Caenorhabditis elegans: one gene and its partner. The protein of the gene in region 1 purifies or fractionates together with the protein of each later gene. This does not show direct contact. Each region holds a gene or a part of one and is shown in the gene's direction. Other genes may lie near its edges.

The links.
Region 2: the proteins of F37A4.2 (region 1) and snr-3 fractionate together in Caenorhabditis elegans (co-fractionation; one large-scale study listed by BioGRID). This does not show direct contact.

The regions. Positions count from the first base shown.
Region 1 is NC_003281.10:6,720,458-6,723,934, forward strand, and holds F37A4.2 (PRKRIP1 family protein), read left to right. Parts: upstream 1-1,996; 5' UTR 1,997-2,098; coding exon 2,099-2,194; intron 2,195-2,245; coding exon 2,246-2,370; intron 2,371-2,418; coding exon 2,419-2,767; 3' UTR 2,768-2,826; downstream 2,827-3,477. Other genes in the region: bath-41 (BTB and MATH domain-containing protein 41), read right to left, coding at 192-323, 373-544, 591-885, 935-1,127, 1,177-1,328, 1,395-1,495, 1,544-1,699, 1,745-1,800; F37A4.1 (alpha/beta hydrolase), read left to right, coding at 2,947-3,064, 3,111-3,322, 3,367-3,477.
Region 2 is NC_003280.10:6,488,331-6,491,605, reverse strand, and holds snr-3 (putative small nuclear ribonucleoprotein Sm D1), read left to right. Parts: upstream 1-1,844; 5' UTR 1,845-1,852; coding exon 1,853-1,931; intron 1,932-2,145; coding exon 2,146-2,250; intron 2,251-2,295; coding exon 2,296-2,397; intron 2,398-2,444; coding exon 2,445-2,539; 3' UTR 2,540-2,775; downstream 2,776-3,275. Other genes in the region: rsp-5 (putative splicing factor, arginine/serine-rich 5), read right to left, coding at 388-495, 541-619, 947-1,198, 1,250-1,437; plpp-1.2 (Phosphatidic acid phosphatase type 2/haloperoxidase domain-containing protein), read right to left, coding at 2,856-2,974, 3,020-3,119, 3,170-3,275. UniProt on the Caenorhabditis elegans protein: Plays a role in pre-mRNA splicing as a core component of the spliceosomal U1, U2, U4 and U5 small nuclear ribonucleoproteins (snRNPs), the building blocks of the spliceosome.

The DNA.
Region 1 (3,477 bases):
TAAAACAAATCAAATCAATAAAACCAAATAAAAATTACACCCGAAATTGAATTCTTGAATTCAAGCGTTTTGTTTCAAAAATTTGAGATCAACTGATGAAAAAGGTAAAATACCAGCAAACAGAAGGATGAATAGATATGATTGAAGAGCAAACACATAATCAATTTGACATGAGATTTACAAAGATTCAATTAAGTTAGAGTGATGCGGTCAATGATTCGGCTGTCCATTGATGTGGTCGAAGGTGAATCAGTATTTGAGAAAGCATCTCGAAGTATTTTGATGGCCAATGGTGGTTTTGCAGATTCAAGTTCGTCCCATGCCTGAAATTGGTTGCTTGTTCGACGTAATTTCATTCTCTCATTAACTTACAGTTAACTTCATGCACTCATGTTTATGATTCGAGAAGAAATCCAGAAGCACGTCATAGGTATCATCAAGTCTTAGCTCTGCAGCCATACTAATACGAGTGAGCACATTATCGACAGTCACTTTTGAACCGATGAGCCGAGCCACTTCATCACGCAATGAATTTATCATTAGTCTGATAAAAAACAATACTAGAATGTTTTAATGTAAAAATATCCAACCTATCCATTGCAGATATAAGGTCCTCGGTTAGTTGATCCTCTTCGAGCTTCACAACTCGACCAGCAGCGGACGCGTACATATGGCGAAGCAAGACGTCAAGAGTGCGAGCAGAAATGTCATCAAACTGGAGACGCTTGGACATAAACTCCTTGGTTGAATGATTTCTCAGGAGAACTTTGAAGTATTCAGAACGTGCTGCCAGGATGCACATATGAGTTGGGAATTCACGACCACACGAAGCGACTATAATGAAGTCGCTAAATTCTCCGGTGGATAGAAACTCTGTGAATGCATCTGAAAGTGATTAAACAATGAAAATTTCCAAGCTGTTAAAATCACTAACCATGCGCAGACGATTCGTCGATCTTCAAACATTTTGTATTGGGAGACGATAGGGATCGAGATGTTGAAGAAGCGCTGTGAGTTCTTTGATATGGCTTGAACAGGCTTGAGATCTGTGTCGTACATTCACCGAAAATTGTGAGCTCACATCCAATTGTCAGAATATCGTTAGGAATGTAGACATTCATGGCACTCTGCATTAAAATAAAAAATTGAAGTTGAAAAAAAAACAATCCGACTTACCCTGAGAATGTCTAATGAAAAGAACTTGCTTGCAGTCACGATACCACTACGATTGATCGTAACAAGATTCTTATTGAGATGGCAACTTCTTGGACCGTCTGCTGTTTCGACTGTAAAGCTGACACGGAAACGGAGACGAGGATTAGGGCATTCTGGAAAGAATCTTCGTAAATAACATTTAATAACGAAAAATGAAACACTTAAAGTTCTCTACGTACTATTTATGAGCAGAAAAAGTGAAAGATATCCGGCGGTTTCTTCGTCTTTCCCATTCGGAAATAGTTTCATGACAAACTCATAATCCCCATCTCCAAATTTACTGAAAAATGTAAAACTGATTAATCTTAAACATATTATATTTGCTTACGGTGCCAGCATGAATTCTGCTGGATTGTGAAGCTCTAATTGTACCGTGAAGCGCTCAACGGACCAATAATTGGTAAAGCTTCTCTCATTCATAACCGTACGGCAGCCGGAAACAATGCTTGGACTTTTTCGTTTTTCGGACTTCCCAGACGGTGAGCTGAAAATTAAAAATTTTGGAGAAAAAGAGGTCGTCAGAACTTACCGTGACGGAATCGAAACAGCCGCATTTTCTGGTTGAGCCCCGTTATTGATTTCCATTCTGTAAGCTGATGATGAATTGAAGTTGACTTTGAAACTATAGAATAATGAAAAGTAAATATAATTATTTGATAAACTTTATATTTTAACTGATAATAAGCAACTTCCTATCTAGAAGTAGCTTCTAAGAAAGCCAAAACAAAAAAATTGGATTTTGAAACTGCAGTACGACGCTCCGAGATGACGCAGCGCGTGTAGTTTAGCGTGCCAATCTTTTCGATTTTTCGCGGATAAAACATAAAATTTCCCGGTTTTTTTGCACTAATTTCTTTTTTGATAATTTCTAGAAAATCTCATTATGCCACGAGATGATCCAATCACAGAAGAAGAGCGCCGAGCAAATTCCGCAACCGATTTAATTCGGATGAGACTGGCAAGATTGCAACAAAATATTGTAAGTTTAATTTAGCTAAAAATATAATAATTTTATTTGTTATAATTGCAGGACAAGCCCGCTCCAATTCCAATTAAAAAGGAGACACTGAGAGCGCCAAAAGAACCTTTGGAATTCGTGAGAAATGTCGTTGGTTCTTCAGCTGCTGCCGGAAGTGCTGAATTTCATATTTACAGGTTAGAAAAGTTATACTTTTAATTTGTCTTTTCATATCCAAATTTCAGAAACAACCGACGAAAAGAACAAAATCGACTTGACTACATTGATGCGGTAGCAAAAAAAGAAGAATTGGACGATGCCTACCGTCACAAAGTAGAAAAACTTGAAAAGGAAGAAGAATCAAAAACCGCGAAGAAGAGAGCAAAGCGATTAAGGCAAAAAGCTGCTGCTAAGAAGAGAAAATTGACAAAAAAGAATAATGAATCTGACGAGAGCTCATCAGATGATTCGGATTCAGACTCAGGATCAGGATCTGATAACGAATCTGAAGGAAAACAAAACACAGAAGTCGAAGACAAAGATAAAGTTGAGAAGGAAGAAACGGATGATGAAAAAACTGAAGTTTCTACTTGAAGTTTTTATTACGGAATAACTTATTTGTACATGTTTGATTTAATATAATTGTTTTTCTCAATTGATGTTTTTTTTTGTATCAAAATTCTGAAAAATGGTATATATGTCCATTACATTTTATATTGTCTTTTGTTAATTGTGTTTTCCCTATTTACATATTTCAGTAGCAACTAGTCGAAATGCCGTCCTTCTGGACGCAAATTTCGGGACCACGGCTTTATGGAATTTTTGGACAACCCAATCGACAGGAACCAACACTGGAAAATCTCGGAAACACCGTCATATCGTTTTCTGCAGGTTATATTATTTTATGAAGCATAACCTTTTCCAAACTTGTTTTTAGGAATTTACTACATTGCCAGTTCATTAGCTTTTGGCCCCGTAATATTATGTTACTTGTACAGTCGAGACTGGCTCACACCAGCTGGAATGCTGACAATTCTGAAATATGCCGGATATTTAACACTAATCGGTTATGGAGCAAGAACATTCGGTCGGCTCTTTGACGAAACAAACTCGAGATTTTTAGATATTTGGGAAAACGAAAAAAACAAGGTATCAGTTGAAATCTTTATGTTTATGTATTAATTACGTTTCAGAAGGATGACAACAGTCATGCAGCACTAAAGAAGTACGACTTTGAACTTCTAGACGTGATTCCCGATTTTGTAGCTCGCCCCAATTCGGATTTATGGCATTTAAAACCAGAA
Region 2 (3,275 bases), on another chromosome or scaffold:
TTTGTTTAGAAAACTCGAAAATTTGCGTTCTATTTCAATATATGAGTATAAAAATTAGCTCGAAAATCTCGTAAAAGGTTTTTTCTAATAATAATGACTATAAAAAGTACAACGGCAATTTCCAGAACAGTAAAAATAACAAAGCAGTAAATTAGCCCAAAATTGCGTTCGACCTTCAAATTCCCCAATATTGTACAGTAGTTGAAGTAATCGTGGTGAGACCTGTGTGAATAATACCATGTGCCTTTAAATATTTTTAAAAAATGAAGGAAGTCTCCGCTCGGTTTTATTCGGGAATTATTAAAATCAGAACAGCTCTGAGGATGAACAAATATTATAAAATAGAAGTGGTAAATGAACAACAGTAAACGGTATAAAAACACAATTTTAATCCTTTGGAGATCCTGGAGACGGAGAGCGAGACACACTGCGATTGCTGCCATCTCGGCTGTGACTTCTTCCACGGCTCACGCTGCGCTTTCTATCTCCGCCGTTCTGAAACCATATGATTTTTACTATACAAGCACATAAATGAATTACCTTTGGGGGAGATCCACTTCGGGTTCTGCTTCGATCTTTTGCTGGCAGTGGTGAACGAGATCTCGACGCTTCACGCTTCCTAAAATATAATTCTTGCATTTAATAGAGTCGGAATCTAAAGGACTCGAATACGAAACCGATATGTTTGCGCGAAGTTGTCTGATTCAAAGTTAGGGATCTCACTCTTTTAATCGAAACAGCGGCTTTTGGTAACTGTGGGGACTGAACGAGAAGTGAATTGAAATGTATTGATAGTTGACCCATACTGTGCTCGAACTGTCTCAGCTATGTGTATGCCATTGCGATGTGGGCTTGTAGGTGATATTGATTTCTCATTGAACTGTGGCTAAAACGGTTCGTGATGTGGCACCCTTCCAAAACAATCCACACATTAAAGTTAACTTACAAGTCTCTTTTCGGGCTCGGCGAACGGGATTCGCTTCTGCGACGACTTTCACGAACTGGTGATCTGGATCTGGAGGAGCTTCTGGAACGGGATCTGCGAGAACGTTTGCGATCACGAGAGCGGGAACGTCTTCTTGGTGGAGTACGTGAACGACGTCTAGGAGAGCGGGAACGTCGTCGTGGTGATCTCGATCCATGACGGTCATTGCCGCGTGGTTTTCCGCGAGCCATTTCCACGACAAGGCGCATAGAGCTGAAAATAAAAAGTTAGAACATTTTTAATTTTGGTTTATTATTTTATTACCTTCCTTCCATGGTTTTTCCATCCAAATCATGGCATGCGTCTTCAGCATCACGAGAATCTTCAAAATCGACAAAGGCAAATCCATACTTCATTGAGATGTTATTAATTTTGCCATATCCTTTTAAGAATCGCTCAACGTCGCGTTCGCGTGCATTGTATGGAATTTTTCCTAGATAGAGGCGCGGCATTTCTGGAAAATCACTTTATATTCAAAAATTAATTTATTAAACGCCGTTCATTAAGCCCAGTAAAAAAAACACATGAATTCGAGAAATCAATCTCAATTTTAAGAAGAGAAAGTCCTAAGTCAAGAAAAAGAAATTCTATCAAAAGCGCACACATGAAAACGAGTGCGACCGTACTCCTAGTCGTTGCGAGACCACTTGGCATGCCGCCAAGTCTTTTGCATTTTCGAATGTGCTCAAAATGACTGGATTCCAGTCACTGGAAATCTGTTTTGAAACATTTTTCCTTGATGCAGATGTTTTTATTTGTCATAACCTCTTTCTTATCAGTTAAAAGTTATTTTTATCGTCGTATTTTCTATTGAATTCCATCGTTTCCTTTTATTCTTCTATAATTGTATGTATTTCAGGTAGAAAAATGAAGTTGGTCAGATTCCTGATGAAGTTGTCTCACGAGACCGTCAATATTGAATTGAAGAACGGTACTCAGGTGTCCGGTGAGTATTTTTTAAGATTAATTGTCTGCTTGAAAGTGTTTTAATCGAGAAGTTGAGTTATTAACCAACCAAAATCAATCTTTCACGAATTGCTCGACATTTGTTATAGTGTTTTTATATTAGGATACATTTTCAAAGTCATAAATCCGAATAATATTGTATAATTTTAATTACTGCAAAAACGTAACTAAACAACTAAATCGATTTTATTTAGGCACTATCATGGGAGTCGATGTTGCGATGAACACACATCTTCGTGCCGTCTCAATGACAGTTAAGAACAAGGAGCCAGTCAAACTCGACACGCTTTCAATCAGAGGTTATTAAAAATCATATTTGAATAAATATAATTTAAGATTTTCAGGTAACAACATCAGATACATCATTTTGCCGGATCCACTCGCTCTTGACACCCTTTTAATCGACGATGAACCAAGAAAGAAGGCCCGTGCCGCTCGCGCCGGAGGTAGCTTTAAGCGTCTTTTCGACAGATTATTAATATTTTTATTTCAGCTTCACGTGGACGTGGTCGTGGTGGAATGCGCGGAGGAAGAGGAGGTCGTGGTCGCGGACGCGGAGGACCACGCGGAGGCGGTCCACGTCGTTAAGCTATCATCGGGTCATAGCAAATTTGAGTATCGAACGTCCTATACTTTTGTATCACGTTCCTCAAGTTTAATTCACATTTTGTTCCCGTTAAAGTTGCTGACTTTTGTTTAAATCTTTTGAAATAATTTATTACGGCTTTCCGAGTCAACACAAATTTCCCAAGTTTCGCAGCCCGTGAGAACAACTGTACTTTATTTTGTTGTTACGTTCTGATCTCTATAAATTTCTTCAATTCAAGCATTAAGAGCAACAACATAAGGGCAAAAATTATTTATATTTAAAACAAAAAATTCGAATAAAAACAAGAAAATTGCATTATGCACTTTGCGGAACCGGCAACAAAATTGTATCCGAGTCCTGCGGTCCAGTAGCTTCAAAAACAATAGAACTATCCGTAGAAGGTAAAACTGCATCCAATCGATGTCGCTCCTCATCTGGAAAAAAATATGTAATTGAGTTAAAATTTACGATGGACCAACCTTCAGAGTTTCTGGGAGTACGGGGTGGTCGAGGAAGCAGAAGAGGTTGTGTTTCAGATTCAGTTGAATTGTTTGAGAACAAATCTGTCCAGAAGGTACACTGAAAGCAGAAAAAATGCGAAAGTTCCCAAACACTCATAATAATATTACAGTGTAAACAGCCAAGAATATTCCAATGAAAATTCCGACAAGAACATCGCTCCAATGATGCTTATTATCAGTGATTCTGGAGAAGCTAATTCCAAGTCCAATCATA